7 separate regions of the Mus musculus genome follow, and all the other regions are reported to be linked to region 7. The links are microRNA targets in miRTarBase. Many come from high-throughput screens and were not tested one by one. Region 7 holds a microRNA gene; each other region holds the end of a gene's coding sequence.

Region 1 (4,206 bases), not on the chromosome of region 7:
ATCCGCACCCACACAGGCGAGAAGCCTTTTGCCTGTGACATTTGTGGGAGGAAGTTTGCCAGGAGTGATGAACGCAAGAGGCATACCAAAATCCATTTAAGACAGAAGGACAAGAAAGCAGACAAAAGTGTGGTGGCCTCCCCGGCTGCCTCTTCACTCTCTTCTTACCCATCCCCAGTGGCTACCTCCTACCCATCCCCTGCCACCACCTCATTCCCATCCCCTGTGCCCACTTCCTACTCCTCTCCTGGCTCCTCCACCTACCCATCTCCTGCGCACAGTGGCTTCCCGTCGCCGTCAGTGGCCACCACCTTTGCCTCCGTTCCACCTGCTTTCCCCACCCAGGTCAGCAGCTTCCCGTCTGCGGGCGTCAGCAGCTCCTTCAGCACCTCAACTGGTCTTTCAGACATGACAGCGACCTTTTCTCCCAGGACAATTGAAATTTGCTAAAGGGAATAAAAGAAAGCAAAGGGAGAGGCAGGAAAGACATAAAAGCACAGGAGGGAAGAGATGGCCGCAAGAGGGGCCACCTCTTAGGTCAGATGGAAGATCTCAGAGCCAAGTCCTTCTACTCACGAGTAGAAGGACCGTTGGCCAACAGCCCTTTCACTTACCATCCCTGCCTCCCCCGTCCTGTTCCCTTTGACTTCAGCTGCCTGAAACAGCCATGTCCAAGTTCTTCACCTCTATCCAAAGGACTTGATTTGCATGGTATTGGATAAATCATTTCAGTATCCTCTCCATCACATGCCTGGCCCTTGCTCCCTTCAGCGCTAGACCATCAAGTTGGCATAAAGAAAAAAAAATGGGTTTGGGCCCTCAGAACCCTGCCCTGCATCTTTGTACAGCATCTGTGCCATGGATTTTGTTTTCCTTGGGGTATTCTTGATGTGAAGATAATTTGCATACTCTATTGTATTATTTGGAGTTAAATCCTCACTTTGGGGGAGGGGGGAGCAAAGCCAAGCAAACCAATGATGATCCTCTATTTTGTGATGACTCTGCTGTGACATTAGGTTTGAAGCATTTTTTTTTTCAAGCAGCAGTCCTAGGTATTAACTGGAGCATGTGTCAGAGTGTTGTTCCGTTAATTTTGTAAATACTGCTCGACTGTAACTCTCACATGTGACAAAGTATGGTTTGTTTGGTTGGGTTTTGTTTTTGAGAATTTTTTTGCCCGTCCCTTTGGTTTCAAAAGTTTCACGTCTTGGTGCCTTTTGTGTGACACGCCTTGCCGATGGCTTGACATGCGCAGATGTGAGGGACACGCTCACCTTAGCCTTAAGGGGGTAGGAGTGATGTTTTGGGGGAGGCTTTGAGAGCAAAAACGAGGAAGAGGGCTGAGCTGAGCTTTCGGTCTCCAGAATGTAAGAAGAAAAAATTTAAACAAAAATCTGAACTCTCAAAAGTCTATTTTTCTAAACTGAAAATGTAAATTTATACATCTATTCAGGAGTTGGAGTGTTGTGGTTACCTACTGAGTAGGCTGCAGTTTTTGTATGTTATGAACATGAAGTTCATTATTTTGTGGTTTTATTTTACTTTGTACTTGTGTTTGCTTAAACAAAGTAACCTGTTTGGCTTATAAACACATTGAATGCGCTCTATTGCCCATGGGATATGTGGTGTGTATCCTTCAGAAAAATTAAAAGGAAAAATAAAGAAACTGTAGCCTGTTGTTTCTCCTGGGCTTGGGGTAGGGCTGCGGAGTACCCGTTCCTGCCTAAAAGGGGGTCAAGGTGTTTTTCAGCCTGAGTCCTTACCCATGTGTGGTGGTTCTGGGAACTGACCATGCACGTGTTAAACAGACCTGGGCCAGTGTTTGTTCTGCTTCGGGCTGGTCAACTATAGCTTTGTGTTGATGAATTGGAGCCAGAGGCCACGTGGCCAGAGGTGGTGGCCAATCCAATCCCTTATCTCTACCCAATATTCGAGAAATCTGCTCCAGGCCAGATGTGCTCATAGGAGATAAGAGGTAGACAACACAGGCTTTAGGAAACAGTTACAAGGCTAAGGGTGACTCAACTTCTCCCTCCTTGCATGTCCCCAGCAACTTAAAAACAAGGGCTAGTTGTCCAGCCAAGAATCCAGGAAGCAGAGCTCATCCCTTTGCCAGTTGGAATGGCCATTCTTGGCAGCTTCCTGGGAGACGGGGCAGAATGGGTAGGAGGAGGGTGGCAAAGTATGTTCCCAGTGAGTGGGAGGTACACAGTAGGAGGTTCTCTTGACCCTGGAGCCTAAGGTCTACGCACTGCTGGAGTGATCCTTGCGGGTATGTGAGCATCTGTCTCCTCAGTGAGAGCCTTTGACCTGGCCATGACAGAGCAAGGACAGCTCCTGTTCCAGGATTGCAGATGGTTGGAGAGATGGAGATGTTGAGCCAAAAATGACAGCACAATGGTATGTTACACAAGAAGGGCCAGCGTGTGGCTCTCTGGAAGCACACAGACAGTTGTCCCGTCCAGCTGGGGCCTTGGAACAGGTGAGAACATGAAACAGAAGCCTAAGTAGGGGTTAGACCTCAGGGCCCGTGTGATGCTCGGACAGGGAAGATGACGGCCAATAGGGTGGAGTGTCGCTAGAATGGAGTATTGTACAAGTGCTTCCTGCCACCCTAATGTGCCCTAAGTCTTCTGTAAACTGATCAGATGCCCACAACCTTTGGGCAGATGGTACAGTGGATTTGGTGGGCTGAATTCCCAAGCCTTGGCTCCCCACTCACCTTTGACCCCAGACCCCAGAGTGTCCCTTCCACCCAGCATGGTCACCAGGAACTAAGTGGATGGAGGGTAAACTCACCTCCACCTACTCCTTTTCCTGTGAGGGCCCTTCAGGTTCTCAACCCTGGCCTCCTCTGTCTTGGGAAATTCCAGCAGTCCCTGGGCATCGGCCTGGTTCCTTCAAATCCTAGACCTTCCCTGCCCTTTCCCATGACTCTGGATTCCTCAGCCCCAAGCAGGAGGACCGGGCACCTTCTCTAGACAAGAGCACATCCCTGCCAACCTCCTGGCAAAACTGCCAAGTCCCCATAGGACATTTGTGTTGGCAGACCTCTTCCTAGCCCCACCTACCCTCCTCCATCTCCCTCTGTACTTAGGAACACAGGTCTGTGCCTGCTGTGCATTCCTTAGCCTTCCTCACCCCAAATTCCCAAGAAACAAAGCGCATCGGAAGTCCAAGTGTGTGGGGAGGAAGAAGTCAAGGCAACTTCTTTACCGTGGAGTTTGAGGGCCCTCGTGTGAAATAACTGGCCTTGTTTCCCAGAGAGCCCCATTGCTGCCTTGCATCCGGGGTGGCTTTTGGTACTGGCCTTGATAACAAGGTCATTCCTAGGCAGATGGCTGGCTGAGAAATTCTGCCAAGATTGCTAGCCAATTTTTGCCAGTCTTGGCACCAAGGTTTTTATTAGATTCTAACACTCCAAACTCAAGTTCTTTTGCATGATTGAAATAGGGCACCACTCAAAAAATTGCCCTGTTTTATAGACCAAGAATATAGGTGTGTTGCCAGGGTCTGAGGGTGTAGCTCTCCAACAGGGCTCTTTCAGAACATGCACAAAGCCTGGGTTCCAGAAGAAGCAACCAAAATGACAACAGCATTAATTTCATCTCTTGCTCCTAAGAGGGATAGCTGCAACCAAAGGCTCAGAACAGTGCTGATAAAAGCTGTGACCATAGTAAAAACTGACATTTGGAAAGAGTGCTGAACTAGTGATTGCTACCCGGGGACATTGTTTAGCATCTCGGAAATATGAAAAAGACCAAGACCATAGCATGGAAGAAATGAGAAAGGGGGAGAAACAGATGTAGATCTGAGGTAGAACATGCTGGCCCTCTAGGAATTCTCTAGCTTCTTTTCCTTTTTGGCAGGGTGAGCTATTTCAAGACACAGTTTCTCTGGCTGTCCTGGAACTCAGTCTATAAGAACAGGCTGGCCTTGAACTCAAAGAAATCCACCTGCCTTCCCAGTGCTGGGACTAAAGGTGTGCACCACTACGGCCTGGCTCTCTTGAAGTTCTCAATAAGTCTTTTTCTCTTGAATTTCAGGAATGGTCAGCCCCATGCATTTGGAAAGGTTCCACTTAGAAGAAAAGAACTTGGCCTCCCTGTCATATTCAGTTCTTCTGTTTTCCCCTGTGAGCTTCCTTCTACCCTTCCTGGCTCACAGGAGAAATGGAACCAGGTCAGAATAGCATAGGGTGGATAT
Region 2 (4,216 bases), not on the chromosome of region 7:
GCTGTGTGCGTTAGGAGGGAAGCAGGCAGCATCGAGGTAATGTGATTTCGGGTAACCTAAAAGAACTATTGATTGCCTGCAGTCAAGTGTACTAGGTGCCAAGGGGACACAGCTTTCCTCTAGCTGGCTGGGCGAGCTGCTGAAGGAAGAGTTGGCCTCCTGCTGAAGCAGTCATGACAAGCAGAAGCCTGGCAGGTTTGTCCCTGGGTAGATGGATCACCTGATACAGACACTGGGGACCAAACGCTGGGATTGGCTCAAAACAGGGCTGTGTTGCTCCAATGGTTGGGCTTTGGCATCCTGTCAATTTGCTGTCTGCTCAAAAGCCTAGAAATAGCGCTGGGGCAGTCTGCCGGACTCTGAGGAAGGAAGCAACCATGCAAGTGCTAACGAAACGCTATCCCAAGAACTGCCTGCTGACAGTCATGGATCGGTACTCCGCGGTGGTGCGGAACATGGAGCAGGTGGTGATGATCCCCAGCCTTCTGAGGGATGTGCAGCTGAGTGGGCCTGGGGGCTCGGTCCAGGACGGAGCCCCTGATCTCTATACCTACTTCACCATGCTCAAGAGCATCTGTGTAGAAGTGGACCACGGGCTGCTGCCAAGGGAGGAATGGCAGGCCAAGGTGGCTGGCAACGAAACCAGCGAGGCTGAGAACGACGCTGCTGAAACGGAGGAGGCCGAAGAAGACAGGATCTCGGAGGAGCTGGACCTAGAAGCCCAGTTCCACCTGCACTTCTGCAGCCTCCATCACATCCTTACCCACCTGACCCGGAAAGCACAGGAGGTGACGCGGAAATACCAGGAAATGACAGGGCAGGTTCTGTAGGTCTTTGACTCTTCTGAAGGTAATGGTGGCCGTGCTAGTGGGTTATACTCCATAAAGGGTGTTCTGAGGGAGGAGATAAATGGCGGTTTAGCTTAGTAGAAGGAGGCCAAGTGAGCCCTCACATCAGGGTATTGGGACTATCACTTGGGAAGGCCCAGAACTGAGCCTAACTTCTCAGCCTTCTCACCCAGTATTGAGAAGAAATGACCGTGACCTCCTACAGAGGACAGAACTGTAGTCTCTGAACACATCCCTCCTGAGTGTGTGTGTGTGTGTGTGTGTGTGTGTGTGTGTGTGTGTGTGTGTGTGTGTTTGGAGTGGGGGTGCATGTATGTGGAGGTCAGAGGACAGACAACATATGGGTCTGAGGGGTTGAACTCTGATCATCAGACTTGCTGGCAGGCATCTTCATCTGCTGAGCCATTTGGGGCATACATGGCGTGCTCTGGGGTGTCTGCAGAGGTCAGAGGATGGATCTGTGGGGTCAGTTCTCTCCCTCTGGCTTTAATGTGGGTTCCAGGGATGAAGCGCAGATCTCCAGGCTCGGGAAGATGAACTCCACCTGCTGAGCTATCTCACCACCCCAGACTCAGTCATAGCTACTCTTCCCCGGCTTCCTTTCTCCTTTTTATTTTTTAATAGGGTCTCTCTATAAAGCCCTGCCTGACCTGGAAACGTAGAGATTCTTCTGCCTCAGGTTCCAGAGTACCAGCATTAAAGACATGCACACCATGCCCAGCTTTTATGTTAACTTAAAAAAAAAAATCTGATTATAGCATGGGCTGTCCCCAGAGTTGAGATACATACACTCTAACTCCAGGGCATGCGCCACTCCCAAACCTTAAGGCCACTGCTGCCATAGATCTCCTTTGCACACTAAATGCCAGCATTGCCTCAGTTGCTGCAAAAGTTCTGAATAAACCTACAAAGATGAGAGCTTTTTTAGATTTTGGTTATTTATGTTTTGGAAATGGAGTCTCACTAATTGTCCAAGTAGGTCTCCAACTCGGGAGGCTCCTGCATGTCTCCCAAATTCTGGGATTGCAGATATCACTGTGCCTGACTGCCAAAGATGAGGTTTGTTGCTTGTGTTTTGCAAGTGAAGAACCTTACCAAGGGAGATGTATTTGTGTAGATGTGCACTATGAATTCTGTGTGTATGTGCTCGTGCCCTCTCAACAACACAGGGTATGTAATCGCACGTTATCACATGTATTCACACGTTATCGCACGTTATCTCATGTTATCACACGTTATCACATGTTATCGCACGTTATCACATAGGGGCATGTAGGTGAGCTCCACCGTTTCTAGGTTGCAACAGGACAAACAGCAACTATTTTGATATTTGAATTATTCCAGTCACATGTGGGTGTGGAATCATGTCTTTTGGGAATTCCTGAGCCCATGTGCCCGTGCATAGAGGCTGTGATTGTGAAATGAAAATAAACAGCAAGCAAACAGGTCATGGTATAGAGCAGCACATTGTCGGAGAAGGGCCTAGACTATGGGTCCCTCCTAGGCGGGGATTGGGAGAGATCAGATTACAGCGTCTGCTGGTCACGACCATGGGCCACCTGCCAGCCCCATTTTATTATAAACTGGCATCAGTTATAGACCACCTTGCCTAGGACTGAGAGACTAGATTTGTACCTCTGGGGTGGGTGAGATGGCTCGGCTGGTAAAGGCACCTGTCACCAAGTCTGACTGACAACCTGATATTGATCCCTGGGGCTCACATGGGAGAGAGAGAATTGACTTCTGCAAGCTGTCCTCAGTCCTCCATGTGTGCACTGTGGCCTGTGCACTGCCTCCCACCCCACCCCAACATAAAAAGAATTGCACCTCCGTTTACTAGCAAGGAAATGAAAGTTAACTGAGTGACTCATCTGAAGTCACATTGTAAAGGGACAAAAGCCAGGTATACGGTACATGGTATATGGTACATGGTATACAGTACATGGTGTACGGTATATGGTATATGGTACATGGTATATTATACATGGTATATGGTACTTGGTATACAGTACATGGTATATGGTATATGATACATGATATATGCCCAGGACCCCCAGGCAGAAGCAGGATTGGTAGTTCCAGGTCAGCCTCAGAAACCCAAATCTAAGCAAGCAAGCAAACAAGCAAGCAAGCAAACAAGCAAGCAGGCAGGCAAGCAGCAGGCAAGAAGTAACACTGGCCCCAGCTTTGAGCTGAGGGTTCTTTCCATCACACTCAATTTTACAAATTTTGGAAAGACAGGAATCAACATGCCTCCCTTCCCTCACAGAGACTAGACAGTCTTCTGCACCAAGTACTTTCTTTGCTGTTTTCTCTTCACCTCAAACCTGAACTGTCAACCTCCGCCCTATTTTCCTTTCCCCTTGAGGATTCCTGGGCTACCTTCCAAAGGATTTCCTTGAATTCAACCAGGCTGGGTTTCTCTCCCCACTAACAGTTCTAGAGGTCAAGGTCAGGCCACCCAAGGTTGTGTGCCTCAAGTGTTCTTAGCTGCTAAGCCATCTTGCCAGGCCACAGTTTTTTTTGTTTTTACCTTTTTCATTGAAAGAAATTGGAGACTTGCTAGGCATGGTGGTTCATGCCTATAATTCCAGCAATTGGGAGGTAGAGGCAGGAAGATTAGAAGTTCAAGACCACCCTAAGCTACATAGCGTGCTTGAGGTCAGTCTGTGCTATGCAAGTCCTTATCTCAAAACTCAAACTAAACCAACCAACCAACAACCAAAAACCCCTGGAAGACAGAGGAGAAAGATAAGCCCCCAAATTGCTTGCCCTGATAAACCTCATTCTTTCCTTCTGTACTGGTTGGTTTCCTGCTCCTTTAGAAAAATGAAGCCTGCAGCCTTTGGTGGACATGGCAAGTGGGTGGAGCAGATGGAGTAGAAACCATATTCTCTGACCAGTCACATAGCTTTGAAGGTCAGATCAACCCTTCTTGACCACAGTGGTCCAACAACTCTGTTTTTATTCATGGGGCAGTATGGCATAGCAGAAGTTCAGAAATCTGGGCTCTTCTCTTAGCTCTGCTGCTACTCTTTCTGCCATCGTAGGCCTCTTGCCCTTCAGCTTCTTAATATCTCTTAACAGGATGTAGGAGAAAACATAAATAACCCCAGCTCTCATGGACTCTCATGCAGTGCTCATGGACTCTCACGCAGTGGTTCTCAACCTGGGGGTCAAACGACCCTTTCACAAGGGTTGCCTACAACCACTACAAAACACGGGTATTTGTTACAATTCATAACAGAAGCAAAGTTACAGCTATGAAGTAGCAACAAAAACTTTTATGGTTGAGGTTCACCACAACATGAGAAGCTGTGTTAAAGGGTCACACCATCAGGAAGGTTGATAACCACTGCTTTTATGCC
Region 3 (4,204 bases), not on the chromosome of region 7:
TGAGGAGGCCAAGGAGGGATGGGATGGGGGGAGCTCTTTGGGTGTAAGCAGCGTCACAAAAGCTGTGTGTCTGGTCTTCAAACCCCATGGCAGTTGTCCCCAGCACGGCGACAGTGGTGATTGTGGTGTGTGTCAGCTTCCTGGTTTTCATGATCATCCTGGGGGTGTTTCGGATCCGGGCTGCACATCAGCGAACGATGCGGGACCAGGACACGGGGAAGGAGAATGAGATGGACTGGGATGACTCTGCCTTGACCATCACCGTCAACCCCATGGAGGTAGGCACAGAAGGGCCAACCACAAAGCGCCACGGAGACCCAGACCCTGGTCATGTGCTTGCAGGTTGGGTCAGTGAGATTAGATTAGGGGGGTCACCTTCAGATGAGGAAGCCCTTGCTGAAGGCCTCCGTGAGTAGCATAGGCAGGCAACTGACGCTCTTGGCTTCTTTACCCCAAGATGTCCGTGGTATGACAGGACTAAGCTCCGCCCCTCTGCATTGAGCACCCCATCCCATGTGAGTGGTATCCATGTTGCTAATGAGAGCGTCACCTGCCGGGTCACTTTGGCGAGGCGACTCCCAGTACCACTCAGGCCCTTCTGTCACTGTGGGGTTGGCTGTGTTTTCCTTTGTGGCTTTTAGTAGATAGACACTGGGCGATGGGGCTACAGGCTAGATTTACGCCGTCGTCTCTTTGCCAGACATATGAGGACCAGCACAGCAGTGAGGAGGAGGAAGAGGAGGAGGAGGAGGAGGAGAGCGAAGATGGGGAGGAAGAGGAAGACATCACCAGTGCCGAGTCTGAGAGCAGTGAGGAGGAGGAAGGAGGCCCCGGAGACGGCCAGAATGCCACCCGACAGCTGGAATGGGATGACTCCACACTCAGCTACTAAACCCGCACTCAGCGCCTGCTCTCCAGACTCTCTCCCAGCCCCACGGGTCCACGATGTACAAAATCATTTTGACCAGCAGGTCTGCAGACCCTTCCCCCACTGCTCAAAGTCCTCCCGTGCTTGGTGTGTGGGACCACCGGCTCCACCCTCCCCGCCCATCACCATTGCAGTTTTGCTAGAAGCTGGCGCTTCCTCCCCAGGGCAGGGGCCCCACAGCACCTCAGACCCCAAGTGTGTCTGGAGTTCCCTGTCGGCCAGGGAGAGGACACCAGCACCTGGGACCTCCAGAGAAGCCGCACTGAGCGGACTTGTCGACAGAGGGTGAAAAATTACTCCCACGCAGTCAGTAACCATTTCTCTTATTTTTAAAAGTTTTTTTATTTTTTTTTCCCAAACTAGTGCATGTATAAAGTGGGAGAGCAGAGGGGGTTAATATGTAGATGGCCAACCGACTTTTTAATATTTTGTAAATAAATTGGGATTCTGTGTGTCCTCTGTGCTAGTAGTCCAGGACAGGAATGTAAAGTCAGAATGCGGGGCCAGGAGGGCCTCTTCCTCCCTCTTCCCTCCCAAGAAACCAGGTTGGAGAGGCCCAAGTCACTGGGGCCCACCCTTGCTAGGGTTTCCGTACAGCCACGTGGCCGGGGCCATGGCTTTCAAGTGCTGTCTGGGGGGGCCAGCCCCACGAGCCTCCAACCACATTAGAGGCTGGGAACAGCCAGGATGTTGCCAAAGCCCCTGGCCTTTCCTGTACACGCCTGTGACTGGCAGCCACATGGTTTCTGCTTATTAACGTGAGCCTCCCTGTTGGTGAAATGGTGTAGCTGGGAACGGACAGCAAAGGTGCAGGCGGTCAGGCTCCTCGCTTGGAAGACCACGGTTCTGAGCAAGTCTGCACAACAGCACCAAAAGGAGACCCCGAGGCCCAAAGATAAACTGCTACAATGCTCCAGAACAATCTTTTCTCTCCTCCCCAGAGGCCCCATGGGATGCCGCGTGCTGTTGGGTTTGGGCTAAGATCTAAGACCCAGCAGATAGGAGACAGCAGGTACCACCCACACAGCACAGCTCTTCATTCACAGTCAAGAGTTTAGACTGCTCCAGCTGGGACATCCAGTCCTCGCTGCTGTTGCTGCTAGTTCGAAGGATGCCGCCGTGCTGTCTGTGGCCGCCCTCCCATGTCCTGTCCCCTGTAGCTGCTTTCTTAGATGGAAACAGGCTAACGAAGAGAGGGACACTGTCGTGTCAGTAGCCGCAGGGTCCCCTTTAAGATGTGTATATCGACACTAGGTCAGAAAGTGTATGCGTTATAATAAAGTTCTGGTTCTAACTCCAGCCTGAGTGGGGTCCATTCTGTCATGTTTGTTGGGTACGGGTTGGGGCAGGGGTTGAGGGATTTATGAAGATAGGCTGGGCTCAAACTTAAAGCAATCCTCCTGCCTCTGCCTGCTCAGTGCTGGGATTACAGATGTCCACCATGCCGGGCAAGGATTATTAATTTTTATGGTACTAAGGAATGTACCTGAAGCTTTGCACTTCGCAGACAAGGGCTCAACCAGTACACTGTATCCCCCCAAGTCCCCTTGTTATTTGAGCCAAGAACTTAAGAACATAAAAACGTTTTTATTTCTTTTCACCTGTCTTTACCTGTTGTGTCAAGGTTGCACAAACTGGTCTCAGCCCCCATCAATGAGAGGAAAAAACTTAACAAAAAACCCGTCTTCCAGCCAAGTACACACCCAACCCAGAAAGGCCGAGCCTGTGCAGAATCTGCAGCCACACCAGAGAGCACCTAGACTCTTTTCAATAAATAACATGGCATACATACATACACACACACAGACACGTTTCCTATTTCAGAGTTGGTGGGGCAGACTAGGGGTTCAGCGGGTGCTGCGGAGGCACCACCGCTCACTGCTGGACCCTGGGCTCATCAACATGAAGGGGCTCCTTGAGCCATGTTCTGGGCTGCTGGCGAGACAGCGGTGATGGTTCTCAAAGTCTCAGAATGCTACCGGGAGATCCAGGTCCTGAGGTGGCAGCTGATACATGGAGATGTGCTTGGGGTGGGACGATAAGCATGTGCGACCCCTGAGCTGGGCTCTCTAAAAGCCGGGCGGGTGGCTGGCGTTTGGATCCCTGGGAGGAGGCCGAGACTGCGTTTCTCGAGTTCCTCTGACTGCCCAGACTACACTGAATTCCGTTCTCGTCCTTGCTCACACTTTTCGAGCCTAGCTCCCCAGCTGCCTTCTGCGATTTCAGCTCTGGAAGAGATCAGTCCTGTCCGTCCATAAAGCTGCCTTGTGTGCCCCTCACACGAACTTCGAAGAGGACTTCAATTCTGGCTGGCCCTTCGTCTTGATTCGTGACCACACGGAGCTAAATGGGGCACCGGTCTGAGTGCTTCAAGGCCTGGAATACACTAACTGTAGTGGAGGCCAGGTCCCTTACCCCAGCCATCGGGGTAAGGGACAGAGTCTACATATCGTGTTCTTACCCGCAAATGAGAGGTGAGGGCGTTCCCGTACCCAAACCCAAGAGGTCGCTTCAGCAGTGCCGAGCAAGTGTGCCTGAGTCTAGAGGGAAGCTCCTGGCTTCCTCAAGAGCTGCCGGAGGCTTGGTTGGGTAGGCCACACAACGGTGGCCGGAGGTGAGCTGAGGATGGAGGCACCAGGTGACCGCCAGGCTTGTTCCAGGCAGCCTGCTGGGAGCCTGGGAAGAAGGCCCCAAGAACTGTCCTTGCTGGGCCAAGACCCACAGGTTGGAAGACTAGGGGTTCGATCCTCAAGGTGCTGTTACAGTGCTGACCGGGGATGACATCATGAGGACATCACCCCTCCCCTGCACAGAAATGCACTTCCATTTATGGCTATTCTGTTCCTTAAACATTTCGAGTCATAAATAAATTACCAGTGTAAACAAGAAGCAGTGGTGTGGTTCTTCCCCATGAGGGACAGTTCAGGCTCTGGGGTCCCTTTGGTGACCACTGGACATGCCTGGTCTCCAGGACTGTCCTTTTACCTCTAGGGCTGAAAGCCAGGAGGGAACCGCCGTATGACCACCAGGGGGCGCCTCCTACTGTCGGTTATCCTTGGACACATTGTGCGCCAGCCAGTTGACTTTGGTTTTCCAGCTTTCTCGGAGAGCTTCGTTGAACTTCACCCGGAAGTGCTTTAGCGCCTCTTCCTCCGTCTTCCCCAGTGCCAGAGAGTCCTGGACAAACCACACACAGCAGAGTGACACTGAGGGACTTTGCTCTGTTACGCAATCCAGAATGAAGCCCAATAGGATGCTAAATTCTCTCTGTATTCA
Region 4 (4,195 bases), not on the chromosome of region 7:
TCTCACTAGGCTTTTACTAATACACTGAGACTTTCTGAATCAGTAAAATATTATCTTTAAATTAGCTGGGAATAATGGCTATAATAAAAATTTTAAGGAAATGGTCTTCGTTCTCCCACAGCCCACTGCTTGTTTGTGTCAACAAAAAAGGATCTATCAAGTGTTTCTTAACCCAAGAATCACAGGGAGAATGACAAGGACAGAAAAACTACTGCATTAATTTCATTTACATTTTAATACTACATGAACAACTGCATTTTCTGAGACATCTACCATGTGGCTAAGGCTGGCTTTGATCTTGTAACCCACAGGAGGTTACAGGTATGCATTTTTTGTGCCAACCTTTCATTATGCCTTCAGTTGCTTGTCGAATCTTGAGGTCTAATTAAGTTAAAGGCCTAAAGGCTCAGAAAGGAAATAATTTTACTTCCTCCCATTGAAGCATAAAAGATGAACTAACTTTTGTACTTTTGGCTGGCTGGCTGAGGCAGACAAAGGATTTCTCTCTTGTGTACTAGACTGTGAACATGAATCATACTTAACTAAATGTTCCTCCTCCTTTTGTGTGTCGTGCAACTGTTTTCTGAACACCTGTAAGTCAGGGTTCTTAGTGAATGTATACGACTCTCCTATCTCTTTTCTCATTTGTTAAATGTACATAAAAGTAGAACAATATGTCTAACCCTTTTTAAGGCTACTTATTATTTTAATTTTTTTAATAGTTAAACATTGTTTTTTCGTTAAAAAACAATCCTGTCAATAGTAATGAATCAAAATGCGTGTGGAATATCATCCCAGAGTTTTCAATGTGTATTTTTACCTTCTCTCTCAGGTCTACTGAGGTAAAGACTTCATAGAATTTAAAGAAAATAAAGTTTCCTCTCCACTCTCCTTTCATCCAATTTATCATAAGTAGTTTTTGATAGAAAGGCAACAATAAAACATTTATGCCCGTGGTTGATGACATTTCGACAAAACCAATGATTGTTCATTGGTAAACTTTGACCTTGTTCATTATCTGGGTAAAAAGCTTCTCTAACATGTCCAGGGTAGCCCTACACAGAGTGTTATACACTTTTTATTACTATTCTATAGCATTATGGTCTTTGCTCAAAGCACAGTGAGATTCTATCTTCTAGGGCAGTGGTTCTCAACTTTCCTAATGCTGTGACCCTTTAATATAGTTGATGTTGTATTGACCCCCAGCCATGAAGTTGTATTGACTCCCAGCCATGAAATTATTTTATTGTTACTTCATAACTGTAAGTTTGCTACTTTCATGAATCAAAATGTAAATATATGTTTTTTCCATGGCACTGGGCAACCCCCACGAAAGGGTCCTTTGACAACTAACGAGGGGTCAGGCACAACCCACAAGTTGAGAACCGCTGTTGTAGGTGGTCAGAGTGGGTTTCCTTTATAACAGTGTAAAGATGGAAACCGGGGCGTGTTTTCCCAGATCTCTCCTATAATGGCAACAGTTAACAGACCTAACAACATTATAGATTTGCTGAAATCTGGCTGAGAAATGATTTAGTAAGATAATGGCAAACATTCAAGCAATAGAACATACAAGGAAGTTATTTTTGTGTAATAAGAAATGTCATCTCCATTAACAATCAGAATAATTTAAAATATAAGCATTACATAGACTGTATAACATAAAATGTAATAGAATAGACAACTTTATTTTAAATAATGTTCTTAACTCAGTCCATTAAAAAATATCAGAAATTAAATCTATAGAGACAAAATCAGCTGTATAATTTATAAACATGTTTTTTTATGAAGGAAAAATAGAAACTGTTTGGACAAATGAAATAAATGCAAGTAAGATTAACACAGCTTTACATTTTCCTACTTTAGTTTTGTAATTAAACTGAGTTTATGTGATCATCTCTTGTGTTTACTTTAATTGTAGAGTATGAAGCAAATATGGATCACTTTTGTATTTTTTGAAACATGTTATTAAACAAAAGTTGAATAGGTTGGGTACTAATTTGGAAGCTGAATACGAAAATAAAGTAGTTTTGGAGTCATAGAATTTATTACTTTTCTTCCTTTGGTTATATGAAAATATACAATAAAAATTACCCATGTGAAATCATTTATATTCTTTTATGTGTATGGGTGTTTTGCCTGCATGTGCGCCTATACATCTTGTGTATGCTTAGTGCCCGGAGTGGCCAGAAAGCATTGGCTTTCCTGGGACTGGAGATACAAAGCATCCATGTGATGCTGCAAATCATCACCATCAACAACAACAACAACAGCAACAACAACAACAACAACAACAGCAACAACAACAACAGCAGCACCCACTGAGCCACCTCTACAGCCCCTTAATGTTTTCTATAAATCTCTATCATCAACTTTAATAAAATTTTTAATTAATAATTAAGGACTTCTATGCAGTATTATTAACACTTTGCCATTTCAGAAAAGAGGTAGTGTTATTTATATATTTAAACATTTTAAAATATAAAAATTCCATTGACATTATATAAAATAGCATTCCTTAAACATCTGGGTTTTAATTTTATTACATTCAGAAAAACTAAAATTTTGACAATAGGATGTTGCTTATAACTTGCTTTAAATTATTGTTCCAAGGAACTGTTTTAGTATGTCTTACCTAATAATCATAGAAAACAAAAATTCAACTTTTAAACACGTCTACTTTTAGAATATAATTTCTGCACAGTTTAAACACCCACAGATTCTGTGTTCATTAGAACAGCCTAGCTACCTGTCATACAATTTCCAACAAAGAACTAAGGGTAAAAACAGCCACGGAAATCAAACAACTAAACCTTAGAACTCTAAACTGGGCTAATGACAGAAGCATCTCTGTGCCTTTAGCCCCTCAGACAGACACATGGTTTGCACTGTTCTGCGGCGTGCCTCACGCTTTCCCTCACGGTACCCTGTGGCTTGCTTTATTCGAACACAGCAATGCTTGCTTCTTCAGTGTTCTCACTTGTTAAATCACTTCTGAGGCCTCTGGAGATGTTCATGCAGGAGGCCTTCCTTCTAGCTGTTAAAAGCAAGAGCCAGAACTTAGGAATACAAAATATATTTGAAAATTTCTACTTCTAAAGCATTCACTATAAATTTAAAAGTAAAGCTGATTCCTTTTTTTTTATTTCAGACATATAAACATTTTTCCTTGTAAAAAATATACCATATAAATTAAATAACAAACAAGTCCTTTCCTAGAGATAAAAAGTATTCTATTTTATTTTTCATTTTAACATCTGGAAGAACATTAAAGCATATAATATGTTCTAGATTCAGAACTCTTTGAAGAAATTTTATTACATAAAAAATTACACATCGGATTATATGAAAAGAAAACGTTTCACGGAGAACTCAGCAGTAAAGCTTCCCATAAAGTCTGCATCTATTACCACACCACTACTTTATTTGACTTGTGTGGGGCGGGTTGGAGGGGGAGTAGGTGTGCTGAGTGACTCATTTTGTGATCACTCACCTACTTTGGGGAAAATACTATGTAACAAAAGTCAGTTAGGGGCATTACTCCTCTGTGACAGATGATTTCCTGGACTTGAGAACAAGGTCCTTAATGGATAATGACAGTTCCTGAAGCTCTTTCCGAGTAGCGTTTGTGACATCATGTTGTTCCTTGTCTAATTCATCGCTTGACGGATCCTCTCCCTGCCCAGTCTTCTTATTTTGACTGACTAACTGTTTCACAACCAAACCTTGATATTTTACCAAGAGAGTATGTTGATCCTGTGGAAAGAAAGAAGAAACTGTACCAAGCACATCTCATTTTCTGTGAACATGGAGAATAGAATTTGTTTGAACAGCACAAACAGAATAGCCTTATCTTCACGGAACAATGGCATGTTAATGGAAAGCTGAACCTGGCAAGCAAGGTCTGTGTTCTCAGAGTGCAGATCAGGAGACATAAGACCTGTGCAGACCATGTCACAGGAATCTGATTTAGCCAGGTTCTACGACCTAAGACACAAAATAATAAGGACTAAAGAAGCCAAGGTGCTTTTAGCTAGGGGTTGGATTCCTTAGCTAAACTGGACAAGACTTTTGAAGGGTCCTTGGGGGCTAAATCAAAACTAGGGAAACTGAGACAGAAGTTCAGAGATTCTTATATCTTTCCTGAAAACTTAACCTTTAAAACCACAGGACTTTTCACCATGCATCTTACAGT
Region 5 (4,216 bases), not on the chromosome of region 7:
GCTTTAAAGATGAACAAATTACCCATGATCCTGAGCTTTTAGAGAAGGAAAACAGTTTTTCAAGCTACTGTGGGTCTTAGTTAACAATGCTTCACTTATTTCTCAAAGCAGCTGTATCAAGCTCTATTAACAAAACAGCTCTGTTAACTTGAAAGTAAAATGCTAGAACTTTTGACTCTATAATTTCATTTTTTGGCAATCTAGTTTCAGAAAAAATTCTAAATACAGGAAAAAGTCTTATATGAAAACAGAAAGGCATAGTTTAGATGCAACCCAAATACCTAATAAAACAATGAGCTAACTGTGGTTCACTTATAGTTTATTTTAAAACTAGAAAATAATATTAAGAGTATTATGAGAGTAATAATAAAATAATCATAAAATAAGCATGAATCATGGCCTGGTGATTCATGCTTATAATCTTAACTCTTGGTAGGTAGGAGCAGCGGGACCTGCAAACTTGGGACATTCAGAGTCTGTCTCAAAGGAAAAACGCATTTTATGAGCCAGTTTCATGTTAAGAATGAATACATTATAAATATACTATTTTTTCTATAAATTTATGCATAAAACAAGAAATAGAAGCTGAGCATAGGGATAGTGATTAACAGGGAAGTAGGTAGAGATGGTAGCACAAACATCCAATCTTAGCTTTTGGGAGCCTGAGGCAGGAAGATCATGAGTCTAAGGCCAACTCAGGATCACAGTGAGTTTCAGTCCAGCTAGGGATAGAGTAATGCCCTAATCAAAAAAGAGAGATAGGAAAGGAAAGGTGAAAGGAAGAAGGTTGGTTGGTTAAGGACTTCAAGTAGAATTTAAACATCTCCACCCCATTATTTTTCAGTGTTCCTCACATGTAAAGATTTTATAAAGGAAAACGTTAAACTGAAGTTACTGTACATCAAGTTTAACAAACTTCAGCCCATATATTCTCACTCAGTATATTTTGTGTATATTGTGTCTGATGACACCATGTTATATACCTAGATGGTTATATTATTCTAAAACTGTATATCATGAAAAAAATGACATCATCTGCAAATTCTTATTGTCTGTTTTGTTGTTTTTGTTTGTTTGGTTGGTTGGTTTTGTTTTTTGAGGCAGGGTTTCTCTGTATAGCCCTGGCTGTCCAGGAACTCACTTTGTAGACGAGGCTAGCCTCGAACTCAGAAATCCGCTTGCCTCTGCCTCCCAAGCGCTGGGATTAAAGGTGTGCGCCACCACACCCGGCTTGCAAATTCATATTTAAATTTTTATATTTAAGACAAAAGAAGAATACCATTCCTATATTAACAGGGACATCTTGTACCAATATAATTACTACAGTGTGGGAAATATAGTATTTACAAACTACAAATTCTAAAATTTTAAAAATTTTTAAAAGGAAAACTAAAGAAAATTTATAAAAGAAAAACTAAAAGAAAGTTTGAGAGGAGTTAATGAAAGGGAAAATGTATTGTCCAAAATAATAAATAATAAAAAAGAAAGTTTGGTATATTTTAGATTAAAATCTTACTTGCTTATTCCTTCCAAAGGTTTTCTGTTCTTTCTACAAAATATAAAGCTCTTAAAATATACTAGTTATTTTATATTATTTGTGACTATTGAGAAGGGTGTTATTTCCCTAATTTCTTTTTCAGCCTGTTTATTCTTTGTGTAGAGAAAGGCCATTGACTTGTTTGAGTTAATTTTATATCCAGCTACTTCACCAAAGCTGTTTATCAGGTTTAGGAGTTCTCTGGTAGAATTTTTAGTCGGCCATCACTGGAAAGAGAGGCCCATTGGACACGCAAACTGTATATGCCCCAGTACAGGGGAACGCCAGGGCCAAAAAAAATGGGAATGAGTGGGTAGGGAAGTGGGGGGGAGGGTATGGGGGACTTTTGGGATAGCATTGGAAATGTAATTGAGGAAAATATGTAATAAAAAAAAACTTTAAAAAAAAAAAAAAGCCGGGCGTGGTGGCGCACACCTTTAATCCCAGCACTTGGGAGGCAGAGGCAGGCAGATTTCTGAGTTCGAGGCCAGCCCGGTCTACAAAGCGAGTGCCAGGTCAGCCAGGGCTACACAGAGAAACCCTGTCTCGAAAAAGCCAAAAAAAAAAAAAAAAAAAGAGCACAAAAGAGAATAAATAAAAAATATACTAGTTATGTACAATAAATGCATCTCATAAAAACTGTGGAGACTCATGTTAAGATATTATCTGAGAGCTGGGCATGGTGGTGCACGCCTTTAATCCCAGCACTCGGGAGGCAGAGGCAGGCAGATTTCTGAGTTGGAGGCCAGCCTGGTCTACAGAGTGAGTTCCAGGACAGCCAGGGAGATACAGAGAAACCCTGTCTCGAAAACAAACAAAACAAAACAAAACAAAAAGATATTATCTGGGATTTTCTTTCTCCTGTCTAATACCCCCAAAGTATTACGATATGGGGACGGGGACGGGGGGGGGGGGATGAGTAAATCATGAAGGTTCTGCCCTTGTATTTCAATTGGACTTAAAAGTCTCCAGACCAATGCAATATAAATAATTGTTTTACCTATTTTATGGTATTTGCCAGAAACATATATAGATTAAGACAAAGATTAAAATGAAAAAATTGTCAGGCAACAGGTTGAACATCACTATTTTAATAACATGAAATACAAGTACAAAACATTGTACAAGTATACTTTTTACTACACAGAGATGGAATAACATGCATGTGTTTTTACCAGAATCTGTATCACCAAGTACTTTTACCACAGTCAGTACCAATGGCTTTCCAGAGATTATATCTGTCCTATGTAAATTTTATCATGAATAAAAAAGCTTACAACTCTTTTCAAATAATGCAGATTTATATTTATGTTACTCTTCCTGTTCGAGGTGCTTTGGAAAACTGTTACATAATATAAAAATTACCTTAGCTTACAGTTTTGAATGGGTAGTACTCTCTAGCATTGATCAAGTCTCCCTTATATTGTCATTGTAGACACACTATACTTACTTGGGATCAAAGTGTTATGGATGTCAATAGCCCTCATACTGTGTAGGAAAGCAAATAACAATTTTCTGAAAAGTTCAGAGTATTATAAAAGCTACTTGTTAGGCAGAAATACATGAAACCCCATTTACAGAACAAAACAGCAACAAAAGATGATAATGCCCTTCAAGTACTAAAGGAGAACAAGCTTACAAATATTGGAACTGTATGTCTTTCCTGCCTCTAAAAGGTTTACCATATCCAGTGAGAGTAATATCAACCAATAAAGAAAAAGAAAACTGCTCTGGTGCCCAGTATTCAGCAGCTTCCATAGCATTCCTCACAGTTCTCGGCCATTTCAGTTAGGAGTTGTCTTATAACAGATAAAATAAAACAAAAGCAGCATTACATTTTAGGGAAATATGAAAAAAATACTGGTAATTTCATAAAATATTTGAAAGTAATTTTGTTTTCATAAATAAATAAAATGGTGTTTTTAAATTTTAATCTTGCTGTGAAAAAAAAAATCAGTGAAAATTAGATCAATCTTTAAACCTTGGCTTATTTAACATGTTTGAAAACCTGAATCACATTTTCAATTGCCAGTGTTATGCTTTATTCTTGGTAGAATCATCTTTGTTTCTTCGTTTTACATCCCAATTATAAACCCTGGCCATATCTGCAATAACTGTCAAGGAAAATGAAAATATAATACCAAAGGTAACAATGAAATTATAATTTACTCATAAAGCTAAAACAAAAGAAAACACGGAAATCACAAAGATACTAGTGGCAAATACTGTTGATAGCTATGTTGCTATACTACCAATTGTTAAGAGCAGGGCGTGGTGGCGCACGCCTTTGATTCCAGCACTCGGGAGGTAGGGGCAGGTGGATTTCTGAGTTCAAGGCCAGCCTGGTCTACAGAGTGAGTTCCAGGACAGCCAGGGCTACACAGAGAAACCCTGTCTCGAAAACAAACAAACAAACAATAAACAACAAAAAACAAAAAAATTGCTAAGAAAATTCTGTTCATTCTATATCCTAACATAAAATGTTAAAATGAATACGATTACCCAAAATTTTATCTGGGCTAAACAGATCCTTTAGTTTACTAAATACCTACTGTGTTTTGACTAAGCCTTGAACAAGCTAGGTGAAGCCCCTTCCTTCATGGAGTTTAGATTCATTAGAACATACTCTAATGCCTGTCTACTATTCTAACTTTTCCAGTTTATACAGTATTATATTGA
Region 6 (4,204 bases), not on the chromosome of region 7:
TCATTGTTATTGGAGACAGGGTTTCTCATTGTAGACCAGGCTGTCCTCGAACTCAGAGATCCGTCTGCTTCTCTGCCTCCCAAGTACTGGGATTAGAAGGGTACCCCACCACACCCAGCTGGGCTTCATTTTTAAACAGCGAATTTGTCTTTGTAGAGATGCATAGTGTAGGGCCCTCAAGAGGTGGTTGAGTTTTCTAAAGATTCCAACCGGAAAATCCCAGTCCCTCATACGTGTGTGCTGTGACTGGTGCCGACTGTGTCCATGAGACACAAACAAGAGGCTCCTAGGTATTGACTTCCATGTTTTTATTGTACACTTGGTGCATTTAAAGACACTCCGAGGGCAAGCACTGGATAGAGACATCGTTTGATTTGTAGATATCTGTACAAAAGGCTGTTAAGACCACATGTTCAGTCCTCCCCCCACAGGAAACAAAGGTTTTCTGTTATACTGCTTCAGCTATGACATTTCAGTTCGCACACGTGATTAGAGACACGTCCTTATTGATTCCTGCAAGAATTCTCTGCATGACAGTTCAGGATGGTTGGCTTCAGTCAGTAAAAACACGTGTGACACACACCACAGGACAGGAGTTGGGGCTCAGCGCCATGTAGAATGAAATGCCGCGGCTGCGGGAGGCATGGGAGAGCCAGGATGCTCGAGCAATGCCTGCCACACCTCTCCCACCATGGTGTGCTTTCTCCCAAGGCTGAACTCTCAGCTGAAATTAGTTGTGATACAAGAACTCAAGTCAGTAATTTCAAGACACGCACACCTGGCTGCCCTGAGGTCCTTCCAGAGTAGCATCACCTGCGTCAATGTTCGATGACAGTAATTTTGTGGTGACAGTTATTTTCACAGCTACTGATTCATCTAAGAGTAAGGGAGCGTCACCACCGAGCTCTACTAGGCGTACAGCTGCTTCATCAGCTTGTGAGGCCGACTCCTACAGACACTGGAGCTTGTGTTGGGCTAAGTCTCCACAGCGTTTATCAGATGCTTAGCTAGCGTTCAGGCATCCCAAGAATGAGCAAAGACTATTTCCACTTTACTACCTTACGTAGACACTCGGGTGTCTGCCCCCAGCTAGGCTGCCATTTTCATTTACTGCAAATCTCATCTCCACAACACTAGCTAGCTTAGGTTAGGTTCTGTGGGACAGGTGAGACAGGCAGTCCATCCTTCATGATCGTGACTTATTTCTGCCCAAAGTGTGCTCAGGATCCCCTGCCCTCAGGCTTAATAGACATAGGGTGGTCTTCTGGGAAGTTATTTACTGATCGATCTTAAACATTCCCGAAGATCTATTTTTCTGCATGCTGTTCATAAAAGTGACCCCTGATTGAGAAATTACCCATGTCAGAAGTGTTTCTTCAAAGGGAAATCTGTTACATGAATTTTAAAACAAATATTCTCCTAAGTCTGCTTACTCAAAATCCAGTATTATTTCTGCTGTTAGTTTGGCTAAACTCACTAAAGTACGTGCGGGCACCTCGGCAGATTCCCTACTGTCCTCTTGTCTGCCCCCATCCATCCCAGTAAGCAAAGCTTTCATAGCTGGGCTCCTTATCCATTGCCGGAGGAGAAAACCCTTAGAGGGCTGCTGTGCCCTCTGGTGGTAAGATGACAACATGGTTGAGCTGTCCAATGCTCCTAAGAGGATTGGCCTTTCTCCGTGATGCTGGACTACAGTCAATAATAAAAACAACCACTGGGTTTTCTAGTGCACACCTGCATAATAGCGTCACAGCCATCTTCAACCTTGGCCAAAGTAATGAAGAAGGTCGCTGTGTCGTTTGCTACCATTAGACCTCTGATCAAACCCCAAATTACCTGGGTTGTCTCAGGCAGGTCAGATCTGATGAGCTGGCCTCAGAGGTGGAGGGCAGACCACACAGGGAAAGCACAGCACGGCTTTCTGCACCACCTTCCTTAAAGAGCTCAGCAGATGAGGCTGGGACAGGCAACTACTTCCTCCTCAAACCTTGTTCTTTTTCCCCTTTGCACCTGCTGGGCACTTTCAGCTTAGCTGCTCTACCTGTGTCCCTCTGTCCATCAGCAAGAGATACCAGTTTGTCATGAGTTTGTCCCATCTCTTGTGTTTTGCCATTTGTTTATACATGGAACCCACAAACCAATCAAGGAAAGAGCTCACAGTAGACATTCTCTCTCTCTCTCTCTCTCTCTCTCTCTCTCTCTCTCTCTCTCTCTCTCTCGGGTTGGAAGAGAAACAAGATTTGTCCCCCCAAAAAAACCTGTAGCCTGAATCACATTGTGAAATGAGGGCTCAGGTCCCTGCCAGCCCTAAGCCATGCTTGAGATCACTGGTGGACAGTTTCTGTTTGCTCAGCCCTGTCAAGAGTGAGGACCTATAATTAGGCCCCGCAGCACATGCTCTCTAGCCTCTCCTCTAGTCTACACTTCTGTCAGTCATCTTTACGCCTGGCCCTTCAGTCGTGCAGAGTGGCAGTGGATAGGCACCTATACCTCTTTCCTGTTCCAGACAGCATCCAAAGGAATCTGTTGGGCAGTGGGGTGTGAGAACAAAGTGGAGGAGATCCTGGAGGTCAGGTACTCAGCACACTGATGTGGGATCTAGTTAACGAGGCAGTGGGTGGGACGAGGGAGACTGTTCTGTGGATAAATGTCTCACTGCCTTCTGCCCTCAGCCCGCCCTGTCTTCCTCACACACTCCTGTGGCGTCAAATCCTTTGTGCAAACACACGGATGCTGGAAACAAATGAGTTTAATTTCAGGCTCTGCTGAGACCAGGGCTGCTCAGATTCCAGGTACATTAGCTATGCTCTCAGCAGTCAAGAGCGACCCTTTCCTTTCCCTCTTTGGCTGAGATTTGCAGCTGTGTGTGGCTGTATGCCAGGGCCATTTAATGAATCTCATACAAGTTGCTGACAATCAAATCCCAATCAATTTCCACACAGGGCCAGGTCCTCAGGTGGGAGCACTGTGGATGAGGAACTGTGGCTAACATGGATGCCCAGCTCTCCTCCAGGCGGAAGCAGGTCTGCTCCACTGCACATGAGCACAGCTCACAGAAGACAGGTCTTTCAAAAATCGCATACACCAGAGCAGAGCTGGGACTGTACCAGTCCTCTGTTCCTTCCCAGGACATTGTGGGGACTATGAGCTACATACAGGCCTGTGCTCTGTGGCAGGAAGCTGGGGGGCTCTCCCCCATCCACACACAAAAGCCTTTGGTATGAACAAAAGCCTTTTGTTAACCCTAAAGAAACCACTATCTAGAGAGGGACCAGGCCCTTCACAGCTCTTGTCTTTCCCACCAGCGTGGCCCTGCAGCCCTGTCCAAGGCGGAGGGAACTCAAGTTCCTCATAAGAAGCTAAGGTGTCCATTGTCACTGAAATATAAGAACATCTTCAAGCCCATAGCTTATCACACAATGGAGCAAGAGGCAAATGGGATCGCGTTACATAGCAAAGGGGGGAGGGTTGCTAAGCTGAACAGAGGGAACATTTAGACACAAGGAGGCCACATGGTAACTCTCGGTTTACTCACACAGAAGAGTGTTTATCTGCTGGTAATTTAGTCGGGTGGGAAGTTTTGAGTAAGGGTGAGGGTGCTTACATCACTTAAAGAACTTCATCTCGGTGTCCACACAGTCATAGAATAGGTCCCCCACCTCGGCGGGGTCCGGGGGCTCGGGGCTGCTCAGAATCTCGTCCATGGCCTCCAGGCCTTGCTTCTCCAACTCCAGCATGGTCTTCCTCAGGGTGCGACCTTGCTCCTGAGGAAAGGACACAGCCGTGCAGAATGGTCATGGCAGTGGATAGTGACAGCCCGGGATCCCGCTGGCTTCCTGGCCTCCATCCCATCCCCCCCACCTCCACTGATCCAAACCGCCACCACCATGGGGGCCGATTTAGAATATGGTTACAGCACCAGCCTGCTCAGAAACACTTGCACGGCCACCAGCTGTCCGAAATCAGAATAAATCCTGACTACCGAGTGTCAGTCGAGATGCACTGGCCTCTTGCCTTGTGTATCTATCCCTTCAGCCATATGCATGGCTATCCTCTGTGATATTCTCTCCCCATGGCTCAGGTGACTCTGTCCCCTGGAGGCTCTTTCCACCCTCAGCACTGTGCCAACTTGTGCCCCATCTTCAGAGCTCTGTGGGAGGTCCTTCCTCCAGAATGACATAGCTTCTCTCCGCCATAATCACCA
Region 7 (4,216 bases):
AGCCTGCCTTGGTTCCCACTAGTTAACATGCATACTCACGCAACCTGCAACTTCACTCCAACTGGTTTACAATGCAGTGGTATGCTAAATAAACTTGATCCGGTTTCTGCCAATGTTAAAACTAGCTTTCAAAGAACTACTTAACTGATAGTTACACTGCTTTTGACTTCAATGTGCGTGCCTTCGGAATATTTCAAATTTTAAAGAAATATCACCTTATGATAAGGTCACTGTAGAGATTATCTTGGACACCATTAGACTCATGCTTAGATATGGTACCTCCTTCAACACACACAAATAAAACAAAATGTCAGAAGTTTGATGTGTAATAGAAAAAAAGAAAATCTGGGACATGTTGCAGCAGGAGCAGTGGGACAGCAAAAAGTAAAATGAAAATAACATTGAAATGTATTTTTATTGATCGATAAGTTATGTAACATTAGTATGATACAAAGCAAGTTGGATATGACAATGGCAAACACATAATTTTAATATTGTTTATTTTCCTTAGATGTTATAGTTAACATATTTACATAAACGACCCAAGATGTAGGCAAAAACTTCAGTAATGTGACTCCATTGAGAGCTTTGAGTAAACAATAGGTTTCCCCAGCAAACATCTTATTGCCTTAATTGAACCTCCTTGAGAAAGAAAAGCACACACTTTGTAATGTAAATGTTAATTGTAGTAGACAATGGTTCTAGGTAAATAGCACCCCTGGACATGAAGCAAATGAAAGGAATACAGGCACTTAACAATGAAAGCTTGTTTGCACAAACAGTGCTTCCAAGGTAAATAAGCAAGGGTCTTCTCGACTGCCTCTACAGCAGTCAAACTTTGGCACGTGTACAGCGGCCAAACTGAGAAGTTGTGTTATTAAAGTCTCTTGGCTTTTCTAAATGAAACTACCAGTGGCTTTACAGGTTTCTCTGGTGTCAATCTTACAAGAAGTTGAAGCTATAAAGAAAAATGTACTGTCCCTGAAGAAAACTTATGCATTTGGGAGTGTCAGTAATTTAGGCCATATGAAAGAAAAGAAGCAATTTTGGAATTTTTTTTCTCATTGCAATGCTTGTATTTATGTGCAAATGCCTATACAAATGTTTGCCTGATAAAATGTAACAGGATGCAAGGAACTTCAAAAAAGGACTACAGTGGTTTCTCCAAAGCCTCAAAGTTTATGCTGGGACTAGTGACTTTTAGATGAAGAGGGAAGAGGAGGAAGAAAAGGAAGAGGAGGGGGAAAAGGGAAAAAAAAAGCTCATCCGCTAGGACAATTCTAAAACAAAACAAGTTCTCTAACATATTGTGATTGTAATCAACTTTCTACAGACTGATGACTTTATAGCTTTATTTCCAGAATGTAGATTAGCATAAGTAGGCCAAGTTCCTGTGTGTCACACAAGGAAGTAAACAACCCGATGAAGTAAGTCATAATAATGAATGCTATGAGACATGACTTTAAAATATAACACAGCCAAAACAAAAGCCAAAGGTGGTCACAAGGCCCTAACCACATACTGAGGACTTCTCTGAGAAGGGCATGCAGTTCTGGGGCACTCTTGGCACCCTTTCCACTTGTTTTCCTTAAATGGTGAAAATTTCAACCAAAGGAGAAATCCAAATTTAATCATGGCCAGATTAAACAGAGGTTTAAAAATGAACAGAGACAGTACATAGCAGCTACCAACCAGTTGGTGTTGCCATTTGGGAGGCTGCAGATGGCTGTGGGTGGGAAATGCCTTTACTTTCTTAAGCGATGGAGATGAGTATGGTGTGTGTGTGCTTGATGTTTTTTTCATACCCCTACCCCCCAACAGGGCTGTCTGTCATAGGCTGCCGGCCAGGCTTTACCACTTGCCCCCGAGCGTGGGAATCGGAGCGTCCTGCCGTTCACATCTCCTGCTTTCCGTTTAGCGGAATCAATTAGGCAAGACAGACCCTCAGATTCCCCACCCCCTTTCCATTTTTGTCAGGTCTATATACGTCCTAATTATTTCAGTTTGGGATGCCAGAGCTGTTTCCTGGATAGACCTGATCATCCTTAAACAAAAAGAGAGGAGGCGCACACGTGGGTTGTGGCGTAAATGTCACTTTCATTTCCAATGCTAGGCGCAGAGTAAGACAGAACATTTTTTTAACACTTTGACAAGAGGGGAGGCGATCTCGTCTCCATCATGTCTTTCTGCTTCAGTAGCTTCCTCAAGGAAACCCTCTTGGAACAGAGAAGCATCTGTCCTTGTATTTTGAATAGAAGAATAAAAATCAGCCTTTGCCCCCACCCCTTTTCCCTGCTAGCTCTAAGTCTTCGGTAGATATAAATTATTAACCTTCCAGTATAAGCTTTACTGAAAGTCTAACTTCACAGAATTTGATGTACACACCCAAATACATAGAAAGTTTCCAGGCACAAGCTTCAAACTTGGGGGAGGGGCCTCAGATAGGAACAGCCCAAATCTACATAATTATGAAATCATTTTTAAGCGAGGTACCAGACATCACTATAACAGCTTTCTAAGAAAAAAAAAGAAAAAAAAAACCTCATATGTAAACGTTTGCTTCAAAATGAACAATATAGAAAATACATGCATCGTCACCCGTAAAAAACACTACACAATTCTCCTCTCCAGTTGTACAAGCCCCTCAAAGCCTGGCCCCTTTAGATTTCAATATGCGTGTCACTTAATTTTCTTGCATCCCACTTTCAATCATAAGATAAAAAAAGTTAGATTCAATAAGCATTCCTGACCTTTCTGGTTTTTACTGTCTCTTGGTTGCAGTCTTTCTTTCCGGAACGTTCCTCGGTGACCTTGAAGGAGTTTTTACTTTCGGTTATCTAGCTTTATGAAGACCAATACACTCATACAGCTAGATAACCAAAGATAACAACTCGCTTCCCTCACAAGGCTGCCTTCCTCTGGCTGAACTCCAGATCTCGATCCTCTTTGGCTTTAGGGAAGCGTAGTCCTCCGGGGTACTTGCCGCGTTTAAGCTTCTCCTTTCATGTAAACATGACCTGGTTTCTGTCTTAGTGTGTGCGGCTAGAACATCCAAATGAGATCTGTTGCATTCAGAGTTTATTCCAAACTTTTCCCCTTCCAGCAAGTAATCTCCAGTATCGTTAGCCAACAATTCATCTATGAGTATCAGAAATTAAGACCAGAGACTAAGGTGCAGCAAGCTGTTGGGGGTGAGCAGCAGTGTCCTTCTCTTCACAGGCCTCTATTTGCATTGTAAATTGCTTCATTCTCACGGAAGATTCTTTAGCCTTCCTCTACTGAGATGTATAAAGCCATCGGCAGTTTCCAACGCTGGTTAAAGAGGAAGAAGGGGGAAATCCCATTCTATAGAAGTGACAGCTGATTCAAAGATCTGCTCCGGATCATTGGGTTAGGCATCATGATCTTTTTTACCAAGTGCAGGCAGCTTGATTGCACATATCTTGTATGTGAATGTTTTAAGGGAGATCCTCGATTTCTTAGGACTTCTAGGCGGGCAGAGCATGCCCTCTTGCTGGCGTACTGCTGCCCCGGTCTGAAAGAAGGAGAAAAGGGCCATCATTGGAGGGGCTTTCACCGCCAAATTGTGGACCAGCCCGGCAAGGTCAAAGGTTTGAGACTGCGGGAGACCAAGGTAATGATGATGTCATGAGAAATCTCAAGTACATGGTTATTGATATGCATCAGTGGTCACCCAACTGCCCCACGCCTGCTGCCAGGAGTAGCACAGGCGACGGCGGCGGCGACGGCGGCAGCGGTGGCGGCGACGGCAGCAGCAGCTTTGCAGCAGTCCCTATATTCTCAATCAACATTTCATCCACTAGCACTACGGACTGCTCCTTGAAAAGCAACCCGCGGCCTTTTACCTCCTTGGCGCTAGTGTAGATCGCTCTAATATCCAAAGAATGGAGAAAATCTCTCTCTAAGGATAGATAAAAGCATTTCAGGTCTGGGGAACTTCTTTGCCTGCATTTCTCTTCTGGCAGATTGCATAGGCAGGCAGATGGAAGGCACTTTACTATTGCTTAAAGCAGGGCCTCGCTTTCTGGGGCTGGGAATCAGCTCTGTTTTTACGCAGTGAGTCGATGGTTACAATGACAATTTGCTTTGGTGTTATGTTTTTAATGGCTTTACAGCTCAGTCATGTTTTCTATCTGTGTACCGTGGCGATAGGGCAGCATATTTGTTCTGTAAGTTCGAACTGCACGATCTAAAC

Evidence for each region. The annotated mature microRNA mmu-miR-9-5p reads UCUUUGGUUAUCUAGCUGUAUGA and lies in region 7 at 2,862-2,884, opposite strand. An mRNA with a match to its seed (bases 2 to 7 or 8) in the 3' UTR can be bound and repressed. Matches are read on the target gene's strand: a 7mer-m8 pairs with bases 2 to 8, a 7mer-A1 pairs with bases 2 to 7 and ends in A, and an 8mer does both.
Region 1: the mRNA of Egr1 is a reported target of mmu-miR-9-5p. The part of its 3' UTR that is shown has no 7-base or 8-base seed match.
Region 2: miRTarBase lists Thrsp as a target of mmu-miR-9-5p. The part of its 3' UTR that is shown has no 7-base or 8-base seed match.
Region 3: miRTarBase lists Clstn1 as a target of mmu-miR-9-5p. Seed matches in the 3' UTR shown: 7mer-A1 at 1,818-1,824.
Region 4: the mRNA of Ufl1 is a reported target of mmu-miR-9-5p. Seed matches in the 3' UTR shown: 7mer-m8 at 2,061-2,067.
Region 5: the mRNA of Vbp1 is a reported target of mmu-miR-9-5p. The part of its 3' UTR that is shown has no 7-base or 8-base seed match.
Region 6: the mRNA of Scrn1 is a reported target of mmu-miR-9-5p. The part of its 3' UTR that is shown has no 7-base or 8-base seed match.

What each region holds. Positions count from the first base shown.
Region 1 is chr18:34,863,319-34,867,524 of GRCm38, forward strand. Egr1 (early growth response 1) reads left to right here. Exons shown (of 2, transcript NM_007913.5): 2 at 1-1,638. The coding sequence ends at 450. Among named protein-coding and RNA genes, the nearest start is that of Egr1, 4.2 kb to the left of the region's middle.
Region 2 is chr7:97,413,665-97,417,880 of GRCm38, reverse strand. Thrsp (thyroid hormone responsive) reads left to right here and starts at 331. Exons shown (of 2, transcript NM_009381.3): 1 at 331-849. The coding sequence starts at 378. The coding sequence ends at 830.
Region 3 is chr4:149,646,673-149,650,876 of GRCm38, forward strand. It overlaps Clstn1 (calsyntenin 1), which reads left to right. Exons shown (of 19, transcript NM_023051.5): 18 at 94-278; 19 at 701-2,227. The coding sequence ends at 892. Pik3cd (phosphatidylinositol-4,5-bisphosphate 3-kinase catalytic subunit delta) reads right to left here. Exons shown (of 22, transcript NM_001164052.1): 22 at 2,496-4,105. The coding sequence ends at 3,968. Among named protein-coding and RNA genes, the nearest start is that of Mir7023, 6.8 kb to the right of the region's middle.
Region 4 is chr4:25,246,933-25,251,127 of GRCm38, forward strand. It overlaps Ufl1 (UFM1 specific ligase 1), which reads right to left. Exons shown (of 20, transcript NM_001355512.1): 19 at 3,494-3,756; 20 at 217-3,037. The coding sequence ends at 3,538. The region is part of intron 1 of LOC115489977 (a long non-coding RNA gene); the gene reads left to right. Among named protein-coding and RNA genes, the nearest start is that of Fhl5, 6.2 kb to the left of the region's middle.
Region 5 is chrX:75,533,334-75,537,549 of GRCm38, reverse strand. Vbp1 (von Hippel-Lindau binding protein 1) reads right to left here. Exons shown (of 6, transcript NM_011692.2): 6 at 2,604-3,642. The coding sequence ends at 3,572. Among named protein-coding and RNA genes, the nearest start is that of Gm15384, 16 kb to the left of the region's middle.
Region 6 is chr6:54,505,599-54,509,802 of GRCm38, forward strand. Scrn1 (secernin 1) reads right to left here. Exons shown (of 8, transcript NM_027268.2): 8 at 3,218-3,764. The coding sequence ends at 3,606. Among named protein-coding and RNA genes, the nearest start is that of Gm52863, 4.7 kb to the right of the region's middle.
Region 7 is chr13:83,737,489-83,741,704 of GRCm38, reverse strand. It overlaps Mir9-2 (microRNA 9-2), which reads right to left and starts at 2,891; the gene lies at 2,820-2,891. It overlaps C130071C03Rik (RIKEN cDNA C130071C03 gene), which reads right to left. Exons shown (of 4, transcript NR_152245.1): 4 at 397-3,535. It overlaps Gm51268 (predicted gene, 51268), which reads left to right and starts at 2,829; the gene lies at 2,829-2,884.